Xenopus tropicalis: one gene and its partners. The protein of the gene in region 4 purifies or fractionates together with the protein of the main gene of each other region. This does not show direct contact. Links are inferred from orthologs where the notes say so. Each region holds a gene or a part of one and is shown on either strand. Other genes may lie near its edges. The genes, in order: dnajb11, hax1, dnajb6, tuba1a, txndc9, bag2 and dnaja1.

Region 1 (3,500 bases), on a different chromosome or scaffold from region 4:
ACCAAATGAGGATTGCCATGTATTTACTGTTTAGATTACCATAACATTTTTCTTTACTCTTTGCATAATACTTCATATTTCTAAAATTGCTAATCTGCTCTTTGTCTTTGGTGTTTGATATTTATGACTCTTGTCATTGCGTGATTATAGTTGAACTGGGGAGACTGCAACATGTACATAGTAACGTATATATTGAAAGTGGCTATAAAAATGAAACGGTATCACATGATAACATTAAATGTAATTATTTGGGAATCATAGAATTTCATTACTAGAGGAATTCTAATTCAACCAAGTTTTAAATGTGGATGCACTCTGATACACAGCTTTTTCCTCTTCTCTGATGCAAGTAAAGATTATGCTCATAATCATGAAGTAGGAGGAAGCGGCTACCCCATGCTAATTTATTCTTAGAGCGTTCTGTGTTAACATATGCATATCTCCTTACACAATCTTCTTAGATATAAGTTAGCTTTGTTGCACCTAAATAGAAACCACTTATAGCAAAGCACCGATAGCTCCCACCTACCCCAAATGCAATCCGTTTTACTTACACAAGTTAAGGGAACACACGCATATCTCACTCTTCTCTCCTCTGTTAGGCCCCTTTGCTTCATCAGAGGCATTAGCCATTATACATTTGAACACTATTTTTTTTAAAAATGGTAATAAATTATGCAAATAAATTATGCTAATTATAAATGGACATATATAACACCTACAATTAAATTTTTTGTATAAACTTGTAATACATATAACTGGTGTCAAACTTTAAAAAATAGAATTCGAAACAGCTAACTTTATCAAATTTTGTTGGTTTGAATATTCATAACATATTTGATATTGGCTTGCTTGAGAGAGCACTTGTTATATTTTCATTCATATAATAAAGTGTTTCTGATATATTTATATTTATTTTATGTATATTTTAAATTGTCATTTTTAATTTTTAAATATATAAGTGGAATTGTGCAAAATACTAAGTTGAATTTCACAAAATTTCAGGTATCTTCCTTAGTAAAGTCCCAGGAAACGCTACTAAGTTTAAGCTAAGTTTAAAGGCACAAAATTAGTTGCCATTAATTGCAAATGTCCATAAATTAGCTGGCAATGAAAAGGTTAAATAAAAATAAATTATGAAATCAAGTGTAACACTTTTTCAGTACAAAAAGACTTTGACACTTTGTACTTTTTTACCTCAAGAATGACCATCTATTTCCTAGTGTAATATCAGTCTTATGCCAGCAATAATATAATGGAAATATAAACCAGAAAATTATTGCACTAGCACACTAAGAAGGTTTAGTGCAACACAGAAGTTATTCCTATCTTTGTTATAGGAAAAAACTATATTTTAAAAAAAAATTAAGCCTTTTATTTTATTTACAGGTTCACATATTGCGGGATAAAATTACTAAGCCAGGAGCAAAATTGTGGAAAAAAGGGGAAGGTTTGCCAAACTTTGACAATAACAACATAAAAGGTTCTTTAATTATAACATTTGATGTTGAATTCCCAAAAGAACAGCTAACGATGGAGCAACGACAAGGTATTTTTTTTTTCTTTATTTTCTGCCTTTGCTAGTGATTTTTGAATAAACAAATGTGGGATTTATCATAAATGCACATTACAGTCTGTTTTGTATTTTCTTTTTATTTACACTGGAAAATTTAGACTCTAGTAATGAATTTCATATTAATTTATTCTTACAGTATACTAAACATATTTTAGCCTATAATGCTAAAATGATATAAGTATGTATAAGAATTTCCAAAAATGTGTGTGCTTTTGTAGGAGTAATAATTTTACTAGGAGTTCTTGCATAGCTTCCAAAAGATTACGGAATTGCATAGTTTTAAATGGCTATTAGGAATTTTATTTGGGCAGATTGCCCTTGACTAATATTCAAGCTACTGTTTACAGAGCTCGACTATTCAGCTAGTAACTGACTATTGATCATTTAGCTTCAGAACAGAAACAAAACAATGCAGAGGATAGAGCCATTTACCATTTTGAAGCCTTTGTCTAGAGGCCACCTCTTTCAAATTGCAGTCACTCTTTCAAAAATGACCACATTATATTTTGTCTTTTTTTTTTGTTTTTAATTTCACCGAATTTGTCTACTTGATAGCCCAAGTTAGACTGGGGGATATTGGGGACAATATTAATAAATAACTAATACATTTTTAATATATCTTTTTAAATTGCCTGTTTTTAATTTTTTTTTTTTGAGTGGCCCTTCAGATGTTAGTATTCCTTGACCTTTGGAGTCAAGACGGAAGAATCAAAGAGGAGTCCTCCTTCTGTATAAGGTTGTACTCTGCCTACTGAGTTCAGTTTTCTCTTTTGTCCTGTCTAGAAGGTAGAGGACAGATACTACCTTTCATAGAAAATGTAATTTTAGATCTTGGGAGGTTATGCTGATTGTCTGAACAATTTATTTCCCTCCTTATTTGAAACAATCTAGCAAGCAGAACTCACATGAGGCTGTAACATGTTTAATATTAGTTAGGTTACTGAGAATCAGAGGGTGCAGCCCTACTGCAATGAATCACCCAACTGGTTTCAGTAATGCAGCTCACTTAGGCGTTCACATTTTAATGGACTAATAAAGATGCTGTTTTAATTTGGAAGGTTTGGAGTGCTTGGAAGCCTTTTTTCGTTTATTGCAGTAATGCAGCTCTAACTAGTAAATTGGATGTGAGGCAGATTTTGTTATGCTTTTTATTAGGCAACCAATCCGAATGTTAAGGCCATGCTTCTTTGGGGCAGATCCAGATATACCTTTCTGCCTAACACACACTCCCCATAACTACTGGACTCTTTGCAGTGTCACTTTAAGCAAAGCCACTTTAAATCCTCACTGCACAATTTCAAATATTTCATTGCATTTTTTTATTGTAAATACTTGTACCTTTATTGCACACTTTTATTATATTTAATATTTGTATTTTTTTATTTTTTTTTGTCTATGTAAAGTTGGGAGGAACACGGGTCAAAATAATTTCATTATAGTAATGATGCTTCATTGTTATTTGTATATGACAATAAAACTGGAAACTTTCATTGTACAAGCAGAGTGCAACTTTTTGCACAGCTTGTTATCCTGCAGGGATATAACTGAGCAGTACATTGTACATGACAAGTAATGCCGGAATTTCCAGGGCTACGGTACCACACAATGCTATTCAGTAAGTGGTAGCATTTCCTGTAACTTCTAGTGACGTCAATTCAAGCCGATGGCTGGTGGCACTTTCAACGCAGCACTCTTCATAGCGCACATGACATCATGCAAGATGTGCCTGAAACAGCTTCCTAAACCCTAAGAAGGCCCTTACAGGAAAACCATCACTGAGAAGACTGGACAGCTAGGCCACTGAAATGTACTGTTTGCAGATGTGTCCTGTTTATTTTAATGAGAAGGAAAGGCTAATAAAGAGTTAATCTCAAGCTGCAGGCATACCTTCAGTTGTCTCAATAGTGCCCTTAAGTCTCCCTAT
Region 2 (4,130 bases), on a different chromosome or scaffold from region 4:
TCCCCTTGGTTGGGAATGAGATGTTGGGCAAGCAGGTGTAGGGGATAATTGTGCCCATATACTGTATATGTGAGCGGTACTTTCCTTATCTGTAGCTACAATCACATAATACCTTCCAAAACCCTGACTGGCTTTTGGAAATGGAGAGGTTGATTTATATAGTGGCTGTAGCTACACGGGGACAGAAGGGTTAATCTATCCTGGCTCCCTAAATGAATTGCCTATTAACAAGCTATTAATAAATGGCTGCTGGGTGCTTGGTTTGCCAGTCCTGCCTCCATCTTGCCCCAGGAGGGGCCCCAGCTGCCAGCCACTCCCACTATTGGGCACCAGTGTTGTACCCTGTGTGTGTGCTAGGGAAATGATGGACCGGACTGGGCCGCCGGGACACTGGGAAGAATCTGAGCCTTGCTGGTGCTCCCCCTGCCCGACTGTTCCTCCCCTGATGCATTAAATGTACACACTCAGGGGGGGCCCTGCTAGGGGGGTTAGGGGGGGCCCTGCTAGGGGGGTTGGTAGTAGTAGAAGTGTTAGTAGGAAGGGCAGCCACTGGGGACCATTAGGGGCCAAACACAAGTTAAACACTTAGGGCCCCAGTTCTGTATTACATTTTGGTTTTCAGAGGCCCAGCAAAGACTGAGCCCCCTACTTACCCCCTCTAACCCACCCCCCAATGGCTGCCCCGGCAATAGGAAAATAGGCACAGTTCTCCGAGGTCCTTGCCGTGGAACGTTCTCTGCTGCTCAAGTACTCCTCCTTGGCGGTAGGTGGATCTTGGCTACAAAAGGAGATAAACTGCCATTAGGAAGTGTGTTGCTGCCACTGTAACCCCTGCCCCTGTAACCCCTGCCCTGCCCCTGTAACCCCTGCCCCTGTAACCATTGCCCTGCCCCTGTAACCCCTGCCCTGCTCCTGTAACCCCTGCCCCTGTAACCCCTGCCTGGGAAGTGCCCTGCAGTAATGCCTTAATTACCCCTAATTATCCTTAATTAATTATCCTTAGCCCCCTCCCCTGATCCCTGTCACTTCTATTAAACACACACAGGGGGCAGTTAGTGCCCAGGGCTCATATATGATGAAATCCAACGGCCTTAGCCTGGTAGTTTAGTCTTATCTCTCCAATAGAAATGGAAGGAATCTTGTACAGTTCATCAGTATAAGCGGAGCATTTAATTTCCATGTTACTTTCCCTTTAATAGGAATCGCTCACTAGTTACACAAGCCCCGCCTCTATACTGAGCGTCATCAGCGGAGAGCAGCGGCAGTGGCTGAGGAATGGGGGGGCGTGTCCCACAGGAGCCAGAGCGGAGGGCGGAAGAGCTTCTAGTTCTAAGCCTGGATCCGGACGGAAGTGGGGCGGTAGCGGTGCCGGAAGTGGGGCAGGGTGAGAAAGTTCCAGCTGCTGGATGAGGTGACAGGGGGACATGAGCCTGTTTGAGCTGTTCAGGAGGTTCTTTGAGCCGGGAGGGATCAGGTAATGGCGCCCCTAGAGCAAGGACTGGGGTTCCGTGTGTATGTGCGGGTATATTCCCGTATATATATATAGCTCTGCCCCCAGGGCTGCTACATAGGGATACCATGGGGGGGGCGGGCTGGCCGCAGGGGCTGCTGGGAATGTTCAGCAGTAGTTGGGCTTTTGGTTGATAGTTGCAGTTGAACAGCAGTGATATCTGTTGGGTTTGGCTGAGAGTGGGATGCTGGGAATTCTGGGAGATGCACCCCAATATCTGGGGGTCCCTAATGGCCAATCACTTCACTTATTCCTCTTATACAGAAATGTCACAGTAAATGCAGACTTATATATATATATTTACTTGTATTATTGGCATTCTGGGTCCGGTGCGACTCCCCCCACCCTGCGGCCATATATGGCTTGAGTGACAGCCCCCTGTTCAGCCAGCACCTCCCCCCTGCTGAGAAGCCCCGCCCCTACTTCCCAAGGCCAGGGAGTAGCCACACCCCCCAGCTCCCCTACTCCCAGGGGGCAATGTGCTCAATGTCAAGACAAATTGGGGGTCCTGAGTTCACCCTCAGTTTCAGCCATGTATGGGGGTACAGTAACGGGGGGGTACAGTAACGGGGGGGGTACAGTAACGGGGGGTACAGTAACAGGGGGGTACAGTAAGGGGGGTACAGTAAGGGGGGTACAGTAACGGGGGTACAGTAACAGGGGGGTACAGAAACAGGGGGGTACAGGGTTCCTCCCTCCCCAACTGCCCCATCTCAGCTCATTCCAACTCTCTAGTTTGGCTGCTGATTGATCATAGCACTAGTGTAGCATGAGAGAAATACCAACAACATGCATACAAATTAAAGGGTAAGTTAACAGCTGTGCAGAAAAATACCTAGATTTATATGGGGAGAAGGGGCTAGAGCTGTGCCTATAAGGTTCCAACTGAATGGCTCCCCTCTCTGCCCCCTTCTAATGCCCCATGTTGTTCCAGAGACCCGTTCTTCGGCGGGATGACCTACGATGAAGACGACGACGATGATGATGATGAGGAAGATGCAGACATTGGTCATCCCTTTGGTCGGCCTCCTGGTTTCAACTTTGGATTCTCGTTTGGACCCGGACGTGACCCGATGGCCGACGTCTTCGGTTTCGAAGAATTCTTCAGGGATTTCAACGAGCTTTTTGCAGATTTCGGATCAATGACTCGAGTGGTTCCTGGTAATTTTGGGTCAGAACCTCTGTGCGGGGCAGGTGTAACTGCCATAGGGGGGCACAACATTCCTTAGGGAGGGGGCAACAAGGGTAACCATCTTGGGGGGGAACCTCAGTATGTGGGATCTACTGGATCAACAGAATATTAATATCTGGGGTACAAATGGGTGCAACTGGGGTACAGCTGAGATCTGGGAGTAGGATTGGAGGCATCAGAAGTCATTGGCACAACCGTGTTCTTATTTCCCCTTTATTATATTCCTATAGATCTGCTCACAGCTGGGTAACTAGGAGTAACATGTTCTTATTTCCCCTTTATTATATTCCTATAGATCTGCTCACAGCTGGATAACTAGGAGTAACATGTTCTTATTTCCCCTTTATTATATTCCTATAGATCTGCTCACAGCTGGGTAACTAGGAGTAACATTCTTATTTCCCCTTTATTATATTCCTATAGATCTGCTCACAGCTGGGTAACTAGGAGTAACGTTCTTATTTCCCCTTTATTATATTCCTATAGATCTGCTCACAGCTGGGTAACTAGGAGTAACGTTCTTATTTCCCCTTTATTATATTCCTATAGATCTGCTCACAGCTGGGTAACTAGGAGTAACGTTCTTATTTCCCCTTTATTATATTCCTATAGATCTGCTCACAGCTGGGTAACTAGGAGTAACGTTCTTATTTCCCCTTTATTATATTCCTATAGATCTGCTCACAGCTGGGTAACTAGGAGTAACATGTTCTTATTTCCCCTTTATTATATTCCTATAGATCTGCTCACAGCTGGGTAACTAGGAGTAACGTTCTTATCTCCCCTTTATTATATTCCTATAGATCTGCTCACAGCTGGGTAACTAGGAGTAACATGTTCTTATTTCCCCTTTATTATATTCCTATAGATCTGCTCACAGCTGGGTAACTAGGAGTAACATGTTCTTATTTCCCCTTTATTATATTCCTATAGATCTGCTCACAGCTGGATAACTAGGAGTAACGTTCTTATTTCCCCTTTATTATATTCCTATAGATCTGCTCACAGCTGGGTAACTAGGAGTAACATGTTCTTATTTCCCCTTTATTATATTCCTATAGATCTGCTCACAGCTGGGTAACTAGGAGTAACATGTTCTTATTTCCCCTTTATTATATTCCTATTGATCTGCTTACAGCTGGGTAACTAGGAGTAACGTTCTTATTTCCCCTTTATTATATTCCTATAGATCTGCTCACAGCTGGGTAACTAGGAGTAACGTTCTTATTTCCCCTTTATTATATTCCTATAGATCTGCTCACAGCTGGGTAACTAGGAGTAAGGTTCTTATTTCCCCTTTATTATATTCCTATAGATCTGCTCACAGCTGGGTAACTAGGAGTAACATGTTCTTATTTCCCCTTTATTATGTTCCTATAGATCTGCTCACAGCTGGATAACTAGGAGTAACATGTTCTTATTTCCCCT
Region 3 (4,297 bases), on a different chromosome or scaffold from region 4:
GATCAGCAGGGGAACAGGAGGCGGGGCTTAGGGAACTGTTAAAAACATTATTACATAACAAATCATGAAAACACTGCATATTTTTAATTGATCTATATTGCAAAGTTGCTTGAAATTATATTGTGCTTGGGTGGAGTTCCCCTTTAAATTTTTCAGAAATGGGTTAGGACAAGAATAGATAGTTATATCTCATCAGCAGCTGGAGGGCTTGCTTTTACCATCACTGCTAAGAGAGCCATTGTTTCTACTTTTCTACAGCTGCTTTGCTTTACATACAGTTATGACATCTACTGTCCGAACACCTTATAAAAAAACAGGATTTTTAAATTTTTAATATATTCAATTTTTGTTTCCAAATTTCCATTCTGTAAATTGTCATGACAATTGACAGCGTAATCAAGTTTGCTTACTAGTTCTATGTCTTGGGCTGTCCAGAACAATTAATGGGCAATTAGCCTAAATCTCACCATAATTATGTCTCAGGCTGCCCCTCTGCCCACTGCTCCTCCATTGTGCTCCCTGCGATTTAGCACCTGGTGTAATATTCCAGTGCTTTGACTGAGAGGCTCTCCTAGGGAGCCAAATTAAAAGGGTAAACAAGATAACTAGTAACAGTTAACAGATTTTCAGGTTAACATTTGTAAGCTTTGGACACTTAAGGTGGCCATACACGGGCCGATTCTAGCTGCCAATATCTTTTTAAAATTTTTACCCCTGATGAAGACCCTTGATGGGTTGAAATGCGTTTGACTATACTTGCTATGATGTGTTTTTCGTATTGAATAAATTTCATTTTTTACTTATTGGTTTTGAGTGTGGAGATACTTTTTGCTTTCTTTAATATTGGCCCTTTAGACCAGTTCGGCAGCTTATCTGCCCATGTGTGGACACAAACGATGGGCCTGCCCCAACGATATCTGCCCTGAAATCGGGCAGATCTCGCTTGGGCAGGTTTGATTTTTCCGTTGGATCAGGGACAGCATCAGCTCGTTGATGCTGTCCCCAATCCGATGGCGCCTATACCTGCCGTTCTAATTTGATCGATTGGCCCCAGGGCCAAACGACCAAATTGGCCCAATATTGCCCACCCATAGGTGGGGATATCGGGAGAAGATATGCTTGCTTGGCGAGTTTTAGAAAGTATTAGCCAAAGTATTTTATCTGGTGGAGAAACGTCATGCCATTTAGATGAATGGAAACTACCTGTCACTGCTGGGGACAAACCGTTTCCATTCATCTACATAACAGGTGGCACAGAGATGTATCTGGCCATTTTTGACTGGCATATTTCAGCGATACATGTGCCACTGGCCTTAGGCTTGGGTTCAACAGAATAATAAAAAATGGAAATGTTGTGATACTCTTGCATTAATAGTACCTTTATCTTTGCAATGTGTTCCTGACTCTCTAATTGATTTACCTACCTCTTATCATATTCCGCTTGCATTTGAATTTGTCATCTCAATGCCATTATGAATTCTTTCCAGGCTTTACATCACATTACTGAGCCATGGTGGAGTATTACGATGTCCTGGGAGTCCAGAGGAACGCCTCTCCAGAAGATATTAAGAAAGCGTAAGTATTCCCTGGTTTGACGCTGAGGATATCCACTCTTATGGGGGGATTATTAAAACCATAGCACCTGGATACTTTATACTTTGTTTTTTTTGTATATAAAATTTTTTTTGGCAAGGATATTTTAGCCAGGAGTGCCCTCCATTTCTCTAAATTGACGCTGAGGATATGACTGGGCCATTGTGTGACAGCTCCATACACAGGCTGATGGGGGTTTCCACTCAGGAGGGATTGATGATGATGACGATGATGAGGAGGCACATAAAAGGCATGAGAGAACATGGCTGGGAAAGGATTAATTAGAGGAAAGATATGGAACACCCTGTGTGGCGGAACCTTATTTGCAGTTTGAAAGTTGCATTTAATGTTGCATTTCAATACCAATTACTAAACCCTATTCTCAATCAACTTGTATTCCAGATACCGCAAGCTAGCCTTAAAGTGGCACCCAGACAAGAACCCCGACAATAAAGATGAAGCCGAGAGGAGGTTCAAAGAAGTTGCTGAAGCTTATGAGGTCCTGTCAGATTGTAAGTATCTTCCCAAGACTCTTCCAACTTCCTTGGCTTGTAATTGTTTCCTTACTAGGCGCCCGATTTGCCCAAGGAGTTTGTTTTCATATATGGCATGATCGTTATTCAGCTGACACGAGTGATAGATCCTATCAATATTTATAATTAGGCTTGGCTTAAGCATACTAATCACTGACTGAGCTAATGAATTTAAAGGAGACATATTGTGTAAAAAACAAGAATGTGGTAGTGCATTATGCTCCTCTAAATACAGAAGGAATGTACTTTAAAAAGTTGTGTTTCAGGTGGATTTATTGAAAATTTCTCCAAAAACCCCACTAGTCCCGCCCATCTGTTCCACTCCCTGCTGCCTCCTTTCCCAGGCTGTGCAGGGGGGCCGGCGGCACTCGGCACACTGCATTGTAGGATAGGAACCAGAATTAAACCCTGCCTTTGCTTGTGTGACTGCAGGGCTGTGGTTGGCTGTGCTTCCTCCAGGGACGATTAGGACACACCCACCTTTTATTTGAAACACCGGCAGGGACCTGAGAGGATCTATAAGGAGCTCCAATAAAGGGGCCACAGATAGAATTAAGCACCATATATTATTCATAATTGCCTAAAAGATTGAGGGGGGATTTCACTTATCCTACATTTCTTCTTTAAAAAAAATGGTCATTATGCCCTTTCTGCTGAAAAGGGGTTTACGGTAAAAGTAGATTATTGAAGGATCCTTTGTTAATTTGTTTTCTATATTGTTGTGGGTATTACACTCATAATAAGGTGCTGGCCACTGGTATAAAACTTAGATAACAAACGTCATGTTAGTAGCTAAGCCGTCATACTGCTTGGAGAAAGTGTCAGAGCGGCTTTTGCAGCCTATTTAAAGGAGAAGTACACCACTTCCTGCTTTGTCTTAGTCCAGTAAGCAGGTTAGACTGATCTGTTGTTTTGTTTGGTTGAGGCTGGTGGGACGCGGCGAGGCACTTTTGAGCCTGGCCCTCGTGTGTTGGAATGCATTGCTTATTTATAGCCGTGTCTGTCCCCAGCTGCTGGGGAGACACACAAATACATCACAACAATGTTCTGCCTCAGAGAGAGACTGTGTGAAATTGTATCCTGAAATGATTTGCTAACTCCACTTAGACTAAACGGCTTGTATTTTATTTATTTATATTTGTTTGTTTCTTTCCCTTATAGCTAAAAAGAGGGATATTTATGATAAATATGGAAAAGAAGGATTGACAGGTGGTGGAGGTAAGTGCTAGTTTCATTTTAAACTTTTAACGCTATATTTATACCTCATTTATGCTTCCATGCAACTTAGATCCATTTCAGGGCCGTCTAGTTGGCTAGAGACCCTAATGTGCTCTATTTAATTGCCACTTGAGACCCAGCTACAGTGTGCAGCCTTTTCTTGCAGTCCAAGCCTAATTACACAGTGCGAAGAGTTCTATCAGATTGCCACAGAAATTCCTTGAGACCACAATATTCCATGCTTCTATATCCCTGTACTATGTGCAACCTTAATTGTATTTGATTACCTTTTATATTAAGAACAACTAATGCCGTTTTTCTATCTTTCAAGCTAATTAGGTTCTTTCTTATTTTTATTTTAGGCGGCAGTCACTTTGATAATCCATATGAGTTTGGATTTACATTCCGAAGCCCAGACGATGTTTTCAGGGATTTCTTTGGGGGAAGAGACCCATTTTCATTTGATTTATTTGGTATAGTGCACATATTTGTATTTTCTTTAATCTTAGATGTTTCTGCCGGGTTAAGGATTGTAATGTTACAGGTATTATTATATTACTGGTGTCAGGGAGTAATTTATATCCTGTTTCTCTTCCAGCTGACGATCCATTTGATGACTTCTTTGGCAGAAGAGGCCACAGAGCAAACAGAAGCAGGCCAGGGGGTTCCTTTCTCTCTACGTTTGGAGGTTTCCCTGCCTTTGGTCCTACCTTCTCTCCATTTGACTCGGGTACAGAGATGCAATACTCCTTTATCTGCACACTCAAGTTTTTGTCCAATGAAGGGATAAATGAATGCACAGACATCTGCAAATGTTTTATGTGTGTCTTGATTTAACATTCCTGCTACTGATGCCATTTTTTTAAGGTTCCAAGAACGAAAAATTACCCATTACCGTTATTTATCTTTAAAATTTGCATCATGGCTACCATAGCCCTAAAAGGCAGAGCTTT
Region 4 (4,115 bases):
TTGTTTCTTATCATGAGATTACTTTCTTGTTAAATGCAAATTAACTAGCCATTAGATGGTATTTCTTAACCTTTTTGTGGACAGGACCCAGATTCACTCCACACTTCCTTTTTATTTCTATTTCAAGGATTTATTATTTATTCCCTTTCAACAGCAAGGGGCCCAGTTCTGGGTAACAGCCCATAGGCCAAAAACCATTGCATATGTTTGCATAAAATAGGCCAATTTATGGGCAATGGGCAAATTTGGTCCTTGGTGGTAACCCAAAGCAACTAGACAGATATTTGATTTTATTGTTCTACCTGTATCTGGTTGAACAATGCTAATCACTAATTGGTTGCTGTGAGTTTTTACCCAGGTGCAAATTTGCCCAGTGTTGGTAAATGAACTTCAGGGTTACAAATAACTCCTCAATAAATCATAAGCTGCTTAGTAATAAATCAAATCCCAAATACACAGAAAGGAATATCATTTAACCTAGGTAATTATAATTCACATTTCAGAAAGACATGTTCACTATATTCTGTAATATACACTCATTGATTGAATAGTAGTATAAAAGGGTTAATTTAAACTCCTGTTTCCTCCATTCAGTGATCAAGACAAAGACCCATAGCTTTGTGTTGTTTTCTCACCAATGACAGTGGGTTCCAAGTCTACAAAGACAGCCCTGGGGACATGCTTTCCTGCTCCAGTTTCACTGAAAAAGGTGTTGAAGGAGTCGTCCCCTCCTCCAATGGTCTTGTCACTGGGCATCTGCCCATCAGGTTGGATGCCATGTTCCAGACAATACAGTTCCCAGCAGGCATTGCCGATCTGCACACCAGCCTGGCCAACGTGTATAGAGATGCACTCACGCTGTAAGAAAAGACAATTTAATTTTTAATGCGTGAGACTTGACTTCTCTTCCATAGTGTATTGCAGTTATGACTAATGCTAAATTATATTGCTTACTTCAATCACTAAAGCACAAAGTCAGTGCTTTATCCTGATAATAACTGCTTATAAAACAGCGCATGTCGGATCCCCTAGCAGTGCCACACCCACCGCTCGCTGCAGCACAAAGAATCAGACAGCCCCTTGGGAAAGCCATGTCAGTGATGTACGCCTCAAAATGAAGGAATTAACCTTTAAACCATTCTGCAGCTTTTTTTTTTATCAATAATGAATAATTCCATCTCATTCTGTCATACTGCAGCAAGGTTAGCAGGAGGCGCTGTGGGTGTTGCCACCCATTTGCATTATTAGACATTTCTCTCCCCTTCCTCCTCGTCTTGTACATTAGACATGGTGATTTTATTATTTCATTGCCAGTTCCCCTGCCCTCATTTGTCACAGGGTGCTGGGAGTTGTAGTTTAAAGTGGATATAAACCATAGCATAAATTTTCCTCTAATTAAACAGCATAACAACAACACTGCAACCTTCCAATATACCTTAATAACACATTTCTGGTGGTTTTGAAGTTCTTTGTAAATGTAACTGCAATTGAGAGCAGTGTCTGTCTGTCTCTTTCTCTTTACAATGGTGATTCTGATTTTTAAAACACGGCAACCCAAGCAACTGAATAACAGACCTGTGAAAAAGCAGGCAAGGATGGCTAACGCTACCTTGCTTCAACAAACAGAACCAGCAGGGACCAACAAAAGCTGCTTTCAATTAGCAATTACTTTTGGAAACACTGAGCAAATGCAAATATTGAATGAATACAGTATAGTTTTAAGAAATATACTCGATATGGAACATATCTGTTGTAAGAGAGTACTACAACATGCCAACAACATAATATACTTTTCCTTTAAAAATGGGCACAGCCACGTCTGTGCGACTGTAAAACAATGCCTCGCTGCCGACTGTCTCTAGCTTTATGATTTGCTTTTGCCAGGAAAATGTGAGTGCAGCTATGCTGGAATGAATGTGCTTTTACATGAGCAGAGAGATCCTTGCAGTCTGCGTGCTCAGGGCGTGGTATTGCGACCCTTCCAATAGGCACTTACACAGCCCAGCTATCTCATTGGGATTTTAACCCCTTTCATTGTCCAAAAGGGAATAATAATGGGATGGTTGGGGCTGAATAAATCCTATCCCTTTGTTATTCAGTCTATGTTACTTATTATTAATCCAGTGAATCTCTTGCTGACTACATGGCAAGCACTAACCCATTCCATCCCCATCACAAGTTCCAATACCCATGGCAATTATTGCACAGATAAAGGAATGGCCAAACAATAAGGGCTCATAGGGAAAGCGAGCCTCCATCTCACAAGGCAGCATACAGGGAGCGCAGAATAAAGCCATTGTTAGGCATCTGACTCCCACTGGCCATCACCCTATTAACCCTTTCCCTATCACTTGTGCAATTGTAGTTCACTGCAAGCAGATTGTCAGTCATTACTCTAAATGGCACAGTACATAAAGGAATCAAAAGTCGATATCATATACACAGCACAGAATATATGCATTTTCCTTGGGTTCATTCTGATAAAACTATAAGCACAGGAGCCCGGTGTGGCAATAAGAACATATAATGTCTCTGTATAGAACAAAGGCTATTGTTCCAGGAGCATCTAATGACAGGCCATTATCCATCCCAAGCACACACCCGAGTCCCCCTGTGCCTGCCCCCCAGCCCTTATCCAGCCCCCCAGCCCGTATCCAGCCCCCCACTCCTGCTCTTACCATGTTTGCTGCTTTGGGGCTGCAGAGAGGAGAGAAAGAGGAAGGAGAAGAAGGGTGCTTTCTTACAGCGCGACTCTAAGGGGGTCGATGTAAGAGAACCTGCAACACATGGTCCAACGCAGCCCCTTATATACATCCCCGTTGTCATGGAGACCCAGACAGGCATTTCCTTATTGGACCCGACGCTTTCGACTCCCTTCTAGCTCCGGCAGCTGAGGAATGTGATTGGCTGCTGCTGCATGGGATGAGGTAATCAGCCCTACCCAGCTATCAAGGGGCTGCACGGAATCTGGGAGACAAAGAGAATCCATCAACTCATCCCGGAATGTACCGGCCGCCGGTATTCCCTGGGTCCCCTTGGCTTTATACTCCCAAGGCACAAGCATAGCAGAAGTAAGGGCACCTAGTATGTAAGCCTTAACTGCCTTCATGTATATGAATATGGCATCCCATTACAGAGAATGTTAAGTCACATCAGTCTGTGCTGCAGCTGAGCTTACAATCTAACTGACCTACCCTGGGGCTGGGCCTGCACCCTCAGAAGGCTATTAACCTATCAGAATGCTATTAGCCTGGGGTAGGAAAGCTGAGCACCTGTTTGCATTGTGCCACTGCATTTGGTACCCACACAGGAATCCCTCCCATGGACTCAGCTGACTGTATATATTTAGATAGATTTTTGTTTCCAACTACTGGGTTTAATTATACCATATCTGGGCAAAAGCAATGCCCAGGTATATAAATATACCTTACAAGTATATAAATAGAAGGAGACCCCCAGTTCTGAATGGTAATATTAAGCAACACACATATGTTACAATAAGTTGCACCCCTGCCAGATAGGGAAGGTGACAGAGACAGTGGCAGAGTCAAGAGATGAAAGTGCTGGCACTGGTTATAATGTCAATGCCTGAAATATATCCTTAGGGCAGTGATTGGCTTGGGGCTTTTGGCTTCTTTCCCCATATTTGCAGGAAAAAGGCATTACAATATATTTTCAAATAATAATTGCCTAAAGTGATTTCAGGAGAAAACCTTGTGGAAATAATCCTTTACTGGTATTTCCTCTCCATTCACATAACCTGCAATGGGTGCTTTCTTTTTAGTAAGCAAGAAGCGAGGAAGGCAACATGGCAGAAACCACCCCCATCATACCCCCAAGGTTTCTTCAAGAACCAAAAAAATACACTTCTTGCTTAGCATTTACCATAAGAGCAAATAATTACCATTCTTATAAATGATGCTATTTTTGTCCCTTTGTTAATCCTGCCCTAAATTCTCAGTGGGATTAAGTACATCAAAATCTTAGCTGTATGTGTTATGAATGTGACATATTCAGGGCTGCCATCAGGGTAGGACTGAACTCCTCTGCCAAAGGGGTGAGATGTCATGCCAAAGGGCAGAGTCCTGGGAATCGGGTTGGGTTTTGAGCAGGTA
Region 5 (3,500 bases), about 24 Mb from region 4:
GACGTCACCTAGGCCTCATCTTTATTCGCACCCATTTTTAAACTTTGCTGCCAATACTTTACAGTATTTATAATTCTCAAACAGGGTACTATTGTTCCTGTTACCTTTTTGAGGTAACTATCATGCTCTCTGTTTTTGTAATTATAATTTAAAACCATTTTAAATGCTTGAACTGTAATTGTGAAGGTTGCCTTCCCTAGTACAGAGTATATGCTATAATGTATTTATATGTGTCACAGCACGGAACAGCAGCAGCCAGATATATTGTATATGTGTCCACTCAACCATACCTTTTTTTCCTTATTGGCAGTTCAGACCTATACTAAAATGGCAGCTGACACATCTGTAGATATATTTGCAAAAGTCATGGAGAATCAGCTTCTTCAGACTGCCAAAATAATGGAGGAGCAGTTAGATGCTGAACTGGAGAAACTTGACAAAATAGATGAAGATGAAATGGATCGTCTGAAAGAAAGAAGACTTGAAGCTCTGAAGAAGGCACAGCAGCAAAAACAAGTAAGTCTCTATAATACAACTAATTCTAAATAATACTATATAATACAACTCCACTGTTTATTTTATTGGACCTTGTGGTAAGTACTGGCAGAGCAAGTATGTCAGGACACTAAATGTCCTTTATAAAAAAAGTATTTTCTTGCAGACAGCAGCAGTATGCAGAATTTAAATGCAGTTTTTTTCTTCACCATACAGTTTGAAAGGAAAAGCAGCTTTCATTAGCAGTATAGCACAAAAATACAGCAGATTCAGAAACCTCTTGTCAGGGTTAAAACTTGGCTGGTTCACCAACAGCAAGAGTCAATGTAAACAGACATTTATCCCCAGAATTCTCTCTATCCAGCCATAACAGGTCTCAAATTAGGGGCTGTGGAGGAATGTATATCCTTATATGCTGACGATGTCTTATTGTATTTTGACTCCCCTGGTGCCTCACTACAGTCAGTTTTACGCATACTGAAACATTTTGGGTACTTCTCCGGTTTGAAAATCAATTGGGAAAGCCAAGCTTAGAGCACCAATTACAGAAGGCGGCCTAGGCCTTCCACACTGGCAATTTTACTTCCTAGCTGCACAGGTTTACTATGTACAATGGTGGTTCTCTCCTGATCTTACCAACCCCAATGTCATTAAAATATATCCCATTTCGTTAATAATCAGATATCCAAACCAATCACCCAGTCATCCTGACACCCTACAAAGCATGGCAAACGACACTAAACTTATACAAACTGAAATCTCCAATCCTATCCCCGGGCCTGCCATTGTGGGGAAACTCCTACTTACCCAATTTCCAACAAATTACCCCATACCGAGTGTGGCCTCACTGGGGCATACGTACACTGGGAGATGTGACCAATGCTGGTGCCCTGTTACCTAGAAACCAGATTAGACATACAGACACAGGAGAGCTGTTACCCTGGCTCTCATACTTACAACTCCAACAGGCCTTCCGACACCAATTCCAAAGAACCATAGTTCCCTTTGTGCTCACTAAGCTTGAAACTACCCTCTGAAACCCCTCCTCCAAAAAGCTGATCACCACACTATACTCCCTGCTCCTCTCCACCCTCCAATCTCCCTTTCTCACAGCTCAAAAAGCCTGCTGCCAAGACATACCAGAGCTGGACAGTGAAGATTGGGAGGAAGCGACAGACAGGGCCTATGACTATCTGATCTCTACAAGAGACAGGTTAATCCAGTTCAAAATCATACACAGGCTCCATCTGACCCTGTTACGACTATATCGTATGGGAATCCGCAACTCGTCTCAGTGCCCTAAATGTGCACCAGAGGCCAACTACTTTCACTTAATGTGGTCTTGCCCACAAATACATCACTTTTGGAACCAGGTCCTAAACCATATCCAAAACACAACATCCCTACCTAAAATACTCAATCCCAAGGCATTGTGGATGACATTACTCCCAAATCAGCATTGCGCATCCTCTATAGAACATTACTGTTTTATGCCAGGAAAACTATCCTCTTTCAATGGATGGCACACTCTCCCCCAACAATTGCCAGCTGGCTCAATCTACTTAAAGCCCTTCTGCCACTGATACAACTCAACTACATAGCAAGAGGATGTCCTCAAAAGTATGACAAGGTATGGGGAACATGGGTTGAAGCCATGGAATAATGCCACATGGTCCTCCCTGGGAATTTGAACCTCCACTGGTAATCCCAAATCCTCCCCTTCTTCAACAGGAATCTGAACACTCGAGTAGAACATTATTGATTATCTAAACCAATGTACTGCTTATATCCTGGCATGAAAAGAACACGCTTGTAGAACCAATGTCAATGTTTTATGTTGTTTTATGTTACAAATGAATAAATAAACACCTTTGGGAAAAAAAAAACTTGTCTGGTTAGTTTGATATGGAAAGAGAGAGCATAGATCACACAGGCAGTCATTCCAAGACAAACTGACTGACAAGGTTTAAAATCTAGGGCCCGGCTGGTCATCTTATAGCCCTTCACTCTGCTACAGACCTGTGTACTTAGGAGTATAAAGCCCAATTATATGTACTTGTCTTCCTAAGGTTTAGTTTTGCAGCTTGTTTCAGTGACAGTTATCCAACTGGGGGCACTCCACTTAATGTTTCTTCAAATGTGAATTGGTGGTTAAGACTGTTTCCCTTCTTATTAGGTTGGACACTCGGTTGTATTATTCAGCTGCTGGGACCATGTTGTTTACTGCATTTTCCTATTTGTTTCCTGGAACACAGTGTGTCCTGCATGAAGATTGAAAATGAACAATTTGGGCTAGGCAGGAAACACAAACTTGCAGTTTCTTGGTATACAGTTATTAGGAGACATTTTAAAGCCAGTGATCCCCAACCAAAGTGGCTCAGGAGCAACATGTTGCGCCCAGTGGCCTTAAAGGGGACCTGTCACCCTAAGGCATAGAGGCGGGGCAAGCAGTATATTATTGACAGCTGTGATTTTTAAATGCCTTTTATTCCGTTTGGAATTACTTAATCAAAGCAAGCATTTGGCAGTTCGTTTTAATTGTTATAAGGCACTTTTATTATAATCTTGTTTATGTCTGGTGACAGTCCAGGTCTTGCAAGGCTAGACATATTGGAGGGAAATGGGAAAAAAATGTAATGACTTGTAGTGCTGATATGGAAGCTAAAGTATCCGGTCTGTTGCACTTATGCCTAACTTAGAGGCTCAAGCATATCTGTAAACATGTGCCCTTATGCTTATGGTTGGATGTGTATAAATCTATCATTGGTCTGTGATTTGAAAAGAAGAGTTTTAGCGGGTGACGGTCTCTTAACAGGTGGTTATTTTAATCCTGGTCAGAAGCACAGTAGATTTGGCATAGCACTTGGTCACATGCCCTCTGTTCTCACAAGCAAAGACAGCTTCAGTTCCTATGGTTAGCCTAGCTGCTGATTGGTTCTAATCCTACAGTGCAGGGTACGGGGCCGTCGGCTCCCCAGCTCATCCAGAGAATTCAGCCAGCAGGA
Region 6 (4,162 bases), on a different chromosome or scaffold from region 4:
TGATAATCTTCCCATGTACCATTACCCTTAATAAGAAAAAAATACCAGTGAAGCTTGCAATGGCCGGAGTTGCAGCTGATTTTCAGTGCGGTGGGGTGGCCCTAAATTCCCCATTAGGGATGTAGCGAACCTCAAAAAAAAAGTTTGCGAACCTGTTCGCGAACTTTGCGAACCCCATAGACTTCAATGGGAAGGCGAACTTTAAAACCTAGAAAAGCCATTTCTGGCCAGAAAACTGATTTTAAAGTTGTTTAAAGGGTGCCACGACCTGGACAGTGGCATGCAGGAGGGGGATCAAGGGCAAAAACTTCTCTGAAAAATTGACACACGCCGTTTTTCGAAATGATCGGTAATTTTGCGACTTTTTCGTAATTTCCGGCGCTTTCGTAAAGTTATCGTAAGTTTTGCGACTTTTTCGGAGCATTCGTAACGTTATCGTAAGTTTTGCGACTTTTTCGGAGCATTCGTAACGTTATCGTAAGTTTTGCGACTTTTTCGGAGCATTCGTAACGTTATCGTAAGTTTTGCGACTTTTTCGGAGCAGTCGTAACGTTATCGTAAGTTTTGCGACTTTTTCGGAGCATTCGTAACGTTATTGTAAGTTTTGCGATTTTTTCGGTGCCAGCGAACCCAAATTGTGAACATCACGAAAAGTTCGCGAATTTGCGGACTTGCGAACACCCGATGTTCGCGCGAATTAGTTCGCCGGCGAACAGTTCGCTACATCTCTATTCCCCATGCACATGCGTGTTTGCGACTCACATAACCCCCCTCCCATATGAGGTTTCGTACAATATCATCATTCTGGCTACTAAAAGACAATGCTGACCATTTACTGATAACCGTCTCTACGTGTGTTTTAGCAGAGGCAATTTTCAGTATTGTCTATGGCAGGGTATTTTCTGGAGATTAGTAGCTGAGAAAAAATATCTGCTACTAGTAGCCCAGTGTGTCTTCACCCTTAATATAAGCAGGCTCTGTCCCTTGGTTGGGGAGGACCCATACAGTAGGCTATAAATGAAATGAATGGTTTGAGTGTACAGTGTAAATATGAGCAGAACAGGCAGTGTATCTGCAGTAGAGTGAGTGAATGAACAGTTGAATGAGAGTAGGTACATTATATTATATATATGATCAGCAGCAGAGAATGAGTGATTGAACATCTGGAGGGGTGTAAGCACAGTTTATAAACAACAGGGAAAGCAGGTTAGGGAAGTTCGAGACCCCCAAAGCCCCATAAAATCAGTCCCTTAGGCAGCTGAGCTGCAGCTGGGGGCAGGGAAGTGAAGCAGCTGACAGTTAGTGCAGGGCCGGGAGCCGCCCAAGCCCATGTTAGGCAATGTTACACTATCCTGCTGTTCTATCCCGGTGAGAGTGCAGGAGGAGGAGGGAGAGATGTCTAGAAAGATCTAAGCATTTCACTGTCCTCTGTTGCTCAGTTGTGCTTTTTCTGTGGAAGGGAGAGTCCGCAAGCTATTATGGCTCAGGCTAAAATCCAGGCAAAGGCAGCCACCGAAGGGCACAATGCAGGCAAGTTCTGCCGCTCTGTCTCTATGGCAGCTCGATCCAACCACCTGTTAGAGATTTTGGACGATCTGGAAGTCAGGTAAGGAAGCGAGCAGAATGATGTCTATAATATGTACCCTGTGTATGCCCTTACTGTGCGCTCTGCCTGCTGCCCTGCCCTGTGGTGCCTGACTACACGTGTTCCCTATGGATACATACAGTATAACATCTCCCAGTCCTGCCCAATATATATGCACTACTGAGGGAAAGCCTGACTGAAAAGCATAAGCAAAAGTCAACTTGTTACAAAGTCATATGGCAGCAAAACTATATTCTGCGCTCCAGGGTCGATATATCTTTACAGTACTTTTGGCCTAGCCTTTGTTTTGTTCCTATTTTGTAGGAAAATAGTTTTCTACAGTCTGTGGAATGCCATATATTTGTGTAATATATATATATATATATATATATATATATATATATATATATATATATATATATATATATATATATATATATATATATAACCCAACTGAACAGTGGCTTTGGTGGCTCTGGATACTGTAGGAAACTTACCAGAAAGTAGGCATATTTTTTTGTTTCCCAGCACAAGTTGGAGCTCTGAGCTGAGAAAAAAAGATTATGCATTCTTTTGGTCAAATATTGGCCAGGGACAAATCACCAGGAATAAAGTGTGTATTGTTTCCTGGCGCAAGTAGGAGCTCTTAGAATAGAAAAAAAAGATTGATTGCACTTTTGGTGAAATATTGTGGACAGAAGGCAGGAGGCTGTGGTGGCAGTAGGTATAGCTGGCAACTCATCAGGAATAAAAGTGAATTATCCCTTACCTGACACAATAAATAGCTATGGTGAGTTAAGAAAATTACTTTTAATATTGGAAGCAGAGGCTTTGTGGAGGCAGGTATTGTTGGCAAATCAGCAGGATATACATTTTTTCCCATTTCAAGTTGCTGTGAGCAGAGGACAATAAACTACTGATGGACACTCACAGTCTGCAGTGCCCTGCACAGACAGTCATGTGTTGCCAGCAGCCCTGGTTATACACTACATTTTTGCTAGGTACCCAACTGGGCCAGGTGGTTAAATGTTGAGTGGCTGCAGTTATATAGTTTGTAAAAGTAATGTCACAGGTTAATCTCACTGATTCTACAGATTGAAAGGGAAGCTATGTTATTTGTAAGAACCATTTACCAAGGCAACCCCTCCATTACCTCATTCAGTGATGGATTCTGGGACTGAATTTCCAGATGCAAACATGTTGGTAGGTACACCCCTAGTCACTGCACTACATAGAGGGGTCCAGTTGGCACTGCGTCCCCCGTTCCCCGCTGCTCGCTAATAAGTAGGTCACAATCATGGGGTTTGCTTCTTCTATAGTTACACCACTGCTTTTTGGAAAACATCCCTCTAATAACAAATACCAAAGTTATAGATAGTTTGGGTCTTTAGTTGATCTATAGTTATAGGGAGCAAGGTGCATTTTAGTATAATTTAAGTGGGTAGTGTACCTCAAAAAAAATACCCTTATATTTGAATGTAAGTTTCAGTGTTTAAGCCAGTAGACTGGCTAGACAGTAGACTATCAGTTGGAACTAAAGGGAGGCACTACTTGCCTCAGCTCTGGGTTGTAGTTAACCCCAATACACTGGGCTTATGAGACTGTTTGAGAAGAAGTAAATAGTAGAACAAATTACTAGCATATTGAACTGCTACTTATAATTAGGCTGCAGCTTATGAAGGATTTAAAAAAAAAAACCTCTATCTCCATTTAAAATAATTACCCTATTTACAAGAGGAAGAAAACATAATTTTCCATTAGTACTTTATAGTAGGAAAGAATTAGGAAAATATGGATTTTTTAAATTAAAACAATACACAATGTATTTTCAACCCAAGTGATATTTATTATTGAGCAAACATGCATGCAGTTTTTTTACATGATGAGGTTGCACTTCTGTATTTCTGTGCCACTTCTGATGCAACTTTAAACAGATGACCACAGGCTATGGCACACAGTGTAATGACACATGCAGGCTATTTCCACATCTGAAACACCCATAGCTGTTCTCATTAATTAAAAAGTCCCCACAAGTCACAGAAGGCACCTGTATATTATTACCCTGAGCTCTAATCCTCAGCACTATCTTGCAGAATGTAGCACCAACCTAAGGCTAATTTGGTACACGTTTTTGCACAGTAATTGGCAGTAAATGTGTAATGTGGAACTTAATTTTCATGTCAGTGGGAATCAATCCACATCACATAGCTGCCATGGCTGAATAGGATGTGTACTGTTTGTGTACAAACTCTGTATGATTAGACCTTCCCCACGTTTGTGCTGATTGTTCTCACACAAATAAGGGAGAGGGTCTTTCAGAGGAGTGATCCATGAACATTTTTTCCATTTTGTAATTGAAACAATAAGCAGGAGCAAAACTTTAAACTGTAAAGACCAACTAAAACTTAGATTGTAATGAAAATAGAGCTAAAACATAACTATTTCCCTCATGTTTGCCTTTAATTGTTTGGCAGCAACCTTCCTTATCTCCATTCCTAGCATAATTCTATGCAATAATCCTCTAACATGAAACCAGTAAAGGGTGAGATGTAGCAGGCCAGAGGGAAGCACTAACGA
Region 7 (3,500 bases), on a different chromosome or scaffold from region 4:
TTGAGGTTAGGAGCAGGTTATTATACAGGGGTCTTACAGTGGACTGGTAATTTGTTTTACCACCAGTCATTGTTTGCAAAAGAGAAGTGGGGAAACTGCTGATTTAATGGAGTCAATAACATGAAACCACTTTTACATTAGTACATCTTGCGTCACCCCTGCTATTTTCTTCCACCTTGCCTTGAATTCAGTTCATTGCATTTAGTTATAAAATATATGATTGTATTGAACTAGTGTGGGATGTTGCCCTTCAGGGCACTGGAGGTGGAAGGAAGATGAAGAAGATGATGGTAACTGTGTGTAGTATAATACACATGTTTACATGTATTAAATATTTAGTCTTTAAATAACAATCTTTTCCTCATAACTTAGGTTTAAGGAAATCTGCCACTACCAGCCACACTGAAAATGGTGGTAGAAACTGCATACTATGATATATTGGGAGTTAAGCCAAATTCCACTCCGGATGAGCTGAAAAAGGCTTATAGGAAACTTGCCCTCAAGTATCACCCAGACAAGAATCCCAATGAAGGTGAAAAGGTATGTTTATAATATAGTGCAGCAGTTTTATAGAAAGTGCTTAATATACTAACATATTTCTTCAGTATGGTGATACAGATCCTGCACATGCAGGAATTAAATTAAGGTGTAAGTTAATCTTATATCACTTGGTTCTGGGTAATCAAATTTCAAATATGTTCCCAGTGGTTTGAGTCATTTGTTGACTGATGTCAACAAACTGAATATCACACTTTTTGTTGAATGGGAAAAAGTTTTAAAAGACATGATACTTTTTTCTCTAGCTCGAGCAGACAATATTTGATAAGGCCATGTTTGGCCCATGTGGCCCTAATCTTAGAGGGACACTTAATATCTATTAAGTATGATACACCATCTTTAACTATAGCTTCTTTTGCTTATCAGTTATACCCATGAAGAGCCCTTGGAAAGTCCCAAGTAGCATACAAATGCTGCATTTGAGTCGTGATTTAAAATGTATTTTCTCTACAGTTCAAACAGATTTCCCAGGCTTATGAAGTGCTCTCTGATTCCAAGAAAAGAGACTTGTATGATAAAGGCGGTGAACAGGCAATTAAAGAGGGAGGCATGGGAGGTGGCGGTTTTGCATCACCAATGGATATCTTTGACATGTTTTTTGGTGGCGGTGGAAGAATGCAACGAGAGAGAAGAGGTAATAGTAATACCCCTTGCCTCTAACAGTTTCACACATTTAGGTCCATTTTCCCTGTTCTGTCTGTTTTGTTAGAAATTTAAATATACCGTATATACTCGAGTATAAGCCGATCCGAATATAAGCCGAGGTACCTAATTTTACCTAAGAAAACTGGAAAAACGCATTGACTCAAGTATAAGCCTAGGGTGGGAAATGCAGCAGCTACTGCTAAGTTTTAATAATCAAAATAAATACCAATAAAATTACATTAATTGAGGCATCAGTGGGGTATATGTATTTCAATATTTATTTCAAAGAAAAACAGTAAACTAGCTCTGTAAGCGGAGAAGAGGGTCAACAAAAACAATATGAGTACTACCCCACGCTCATTGCACATTGGCAAACTGGCAGCAGACCCAGTCCCGGAGGTGATGTAAGGGGAAATAAGTATTGCTAGTGGGAGCCTAGGCCAGGGCACTGGAGGGTCTGGTTGTGGGAGGCCTAATTTGCACATAAAGGAGAGAGGGTGCTAGTCTGGAGGGGCCCATGGCACCCGACTCGAGTATAAACCGAGGGTGACTTTTTCAGCACATTTTGGGTGCTGAAACACTAGGCTTATACTCGAGTATATACAGTATGCCCCTTTTTTATTAATGCTCTGTTATATTGCATTGCAGCCAAGACTCTTCTGTCTGAGCAAAGTCCGGTAGACATGATAACCTAAAGTGGCTGTCCATTTGCACAAGGCCTAGTCCAAAATACTTTGTTAAAATTGTTCTTAAATATCAGTAATGAATGTTAACTTAAGCTAAATATTTGTTTGCAGGTAAAAACGTAGTTCATCAGTTATCTGTATCCCTTGAAGATTTGTATAATGGTGCCACAAGAAAACTTGCTGTGCAGAAGAATACTATCTGTGATAAGTGTGAAGGTTTGTAATTCAATTTATTTAAATGTTACATTTATTTTCAATTTAAGTTTAAGTTTGATCATTTGATATTAATTGTTAATGCACTGGATCAGGCTGACTCTTAAGTTTTCAGCCAAAACAATACATTCTTTAAATCTCTAAAATGTCATTATTCAGATTGGTTTGGATGCGGTATTTAGTCCAGTTTTTTGTAGAGGATTTGACTGAATCCAAATTTTATTGATTTGGTACACTAATTTGACCAGTTGTTTATACTAATACATCAGCGTAAAACGTGCACTTTGATGTAACGTTCTGATAAATAAGGACCAGCAAATATATGCGTCTGTTAATAATTCACCTTTTTATTTTTTTATTTTAGGTCGTGGAGGTAAAAAAGGGGCTGTAGAATGCTGTCCAAATTGTAGGGGCACTGGCATGCAGATTAGAATCCACCAGTTAGGACCTGGAATGGTTCAGCAGATACAGTCAGTATGCCCAGAGTGTCAAGGACAAGGAGAGAGGATCAATCCAAAGGACCGGTGTAAGAGCTGCAATGGGCGAAAGATAGTCCGAGAGAAGAAGATTCTTGAAGTTCATATTGACAAGGGTATGTGTCTCTCATAATGAAATGCTATTGATTAGCCATCATAAAGGTCAACCTAGGCACAATAACTGCACTGTTTGCTATGTGTTTTCCTACTGTAAGGTAATTTGTGTATTAAGCAGTTTACATTTTCAAATAATACTTTCTTAAAAAAAAAAAAAAAAAATAGGGTAATATCATGGGTCTTGGCAGCTTTTAATAGTGGATGTAGATAAGACCCTGTGACATCACATGATAAATATGAGATGCTTCACTGAGTGTCTGTTTGAGAGAACACTCTAATGGGACTTTAGTCAAATATACAGTGTCCGCTACACTGTCATGTTTGTTTGGTTTAGGGCTCTTGCACATGGGTGGTTTAACATGCATTCCATTCATTTTTTATTGTACCCACTACACTGCATTAAAATGCCAGATGCAAATGAAATGCTGCTTGTTGCGTCGCAACTGTGTTTAATGGATTAGTGTGGTGCAGTAGAAACAGGCAACGTAGAAATTAATGGGCTGTGTTAACTAATTTATTGCCATGCTATGGAAAGCAAAAAAAAAATTTTTTAAATTGGTGCGGTTTTATTTCAAAGACTTTAAGGTAGGTCATAAATATTTATCTCTGTGTCTTAAATATGTATCTCTAAGGTCTCACTGAATAATATAGGCCAGATTGTTGCAAAATATAGCATGGTTAATGGCAAAAGAAATAAATGGCAGATGAGAATTTTCATTTTGGTGTACTTTTTAAGATATTGGCCTATTCAGCTATTTTTAAGCACATTTGTATAATGCATGTTCATTTCATTTTCTGTTTTTCT

What was found.
Region 1: the proteins of tuba1a (region 4) and dnajb11 purify together in Homo sapiens (affinity purification with mass spectrometry; 3 studies listed by BioGRID and IntAct, counting the BioPlex papers as one, with this or other methods). This does not show direct contact. The link is inferred for Xenopus tropicalis from reciprocal best matches to the Homo sapiens genes TUBA1A and DNAJB11.
Region 2: the proteins of tuba1a (region 4) and hax1 purify together in Homo sapiens (affinity purification with mass spectrometry; 3 studies listed by BioGRID and IntAct, with this or other methods). This does not show direct contact. The link is inferred for Xenopus tropicalis from reciprocal best matches to the Homo sapiens genes TUBA1A and HAX1.
Region 3: the proteins of tuba1a (region 4) and dnajb6 purify together in Homo sapiens (pull-down; 3 studies listed by BioGRID and IntAct, with this or other methods). This does not show direct contact. The link is inferred for Xenopus tropicalis from reciprocal best matches to the Homo sapiens genes TUBA1A and DNAJB6.
Region 5: the proteins of tuba1a (region 4) and txndc9 purify together in Homo sapiens (affinity purification with mass spectrometry; 3 studies listed by BioGRID and IntAct, counting the BioPlex papers as one, with this or other methods). This does not show direct contact. The link is inferred for Xenopus tropicalis from reciprocal best matches to the Homo sapiens genes TUBA1A and TXNDC9.
Region 6: the proteins of tuba1a (region 4) and bag2 purify together in Homo sapiens (affinity purification with mass spectrometry; 4 studies listed by BioGRID and IntAct, with this or other methods). This does not show direct contact. The link is inferred for Xenopus tropicalis from reciprocal best matches to the Homo sapiens genes TUBA1A and BAG2.
Region 7: the proteins of tuba1a (region 4) and dnaja1 purify together in Homo sapiens (affinity purification with mass spectrometry; 3 studies listed by BioGRID and IntAct, with this or other methods). This does not show direct contact. The link is inferred for Xenopus tropicalis from reciprocal best matches to the Homo sapiens genes TUBA1A and DNAJA1.

The regions. Positions count from the first base shown.
Region 1 is NC_030685.2:43,617,859-43,621,358, reverse strand, and holds part of dnajb11 (dnaJ homolog subfamily B member 11), read left to right. Parts: intron 1-1,389; coding exon 1,390-1,549; intron 1,550-3,500. UniProt on the Homo sapiens protein: As a co-chaperone for HSPA5 it is required for proper folding, trafficking or degradation of proteins.
Region 2 is NC_030684.2:143,242,656-143,246,785, reverse strand, and holds the start of hax1 (HCLS1-associated protein X-1), read left to right. Parts: upstream 1-1,330; 5' UTR 1,331-1,424; coding exon 1,425-1,474; intron 1,475-2,207; exon of another isoform or gene 2,208-2,279; coding exon of another isoform or gene 2,280-2,317; intron 2,318-2,444; coding exon 2,445-2,671; intron 2,672-4,130. UniProt on the Homo sapiens protein: Recruits the Arp2/3 complex to the cell cortex and regulates reorganization of the cortical actin cytoskeleton via its interaction with KCNC3 and the Arp2/3 complex. Slows down the rate of inactivation of KCNC3 channels. Promotes GNA13-mediated cell migration.
Region 3 is NC_030682.2:17,674,951-17,679,247, forward strand, and holds the start of dnajb6 (dnaJ homolog subfamily B member 6), read left to right. Parts: upstream 1-1,497; 5' UTR 1,498-1,510; coding exon 1,511-1,575; intron 1,576-1,995; coding exon 1,996-2,105; intron 2,106-3,287; coding exon 3,288-3,344; intron 3,345-3,706; coding exon 3,707-3,817; intron 3,818-3,942; coding exon 3,943-4,074; intron 4,075-4,297. UniProt on the Homo sapiens protein: Has a stimulatory effect on the ATPase activity of HSP70 in a dose-dependent and time-dependent manner and hence acts as a co-chaperone of HSP70. Plays an indispensable role in the organization of KRT8/KRT18 filaments.
Region 4 is NC_030678.2:136,579,030-136,583,144, forward strand, and holds the start of tuba1a (tubulin alpha-1A chain), read right to left. Parts: upstream 2,801-4,115; 5' UTR 2,682-2,800; coding exon 2,679-2,681; intron 859-2,678; coding exon 636-858; intron 1-635. UniProt on the Homo sapiens protein: Tubulin is the major constituent of microtubules, a cylinder consisting of laterally associated linear protofilaments composed of alpha- and beta-tubulin heterodimers.
Region 5 is NC_030678.2:112,718,293-112,721,792, forward strand, and holds part of txndc9 (thioredoxin domain-containing protein 9), read left to right. Parts: intron 1-310; 5' UTR 311-327; coding exon 328-516; intron 517-3,500. UniProt on the Homo sapiens protein: Significantly diminishes the chaperonin TCP1 complex ATPase activity, thus negatively impacts protein folding, including that of actin or tubulin.
Region 6 is NC_030681.2:95,344,876-95,349,037, forward strand, and holds the start of bag2 (BAG family molecular chaperone regulator 2), read left to right. Parts: upstream 1-1,362; 5' UTR 1,363-1,478; coding exon 1,479-1,606; intron 1,607-4,162. UniProt on the Homo sapiens protein: Co-chaperone for HSP70 and HSC70 chaperone proteins. Acts as a nucleotide-exchange factor (NEF) promoting the release of ADP from the HSP70 and HSC70 proteins thereby triggering client/substrate protein release.
Region 7 is NC_030677.2:94,448,240-94,451,739, reverse strand, and holds part of dnaja1 (dnaJ homolog subfamily A member 1), read left to right. Parts: intron 1-372; 5' UTR 373-408; coding exon 409-540; intron 541-1,011; coding exon 1,012-1,192; intron 1,193-2,000; coding exon 2,001-2,105; intron 2,106-2,466; coding exon 2,467-2,694; intron 2,695-3,500.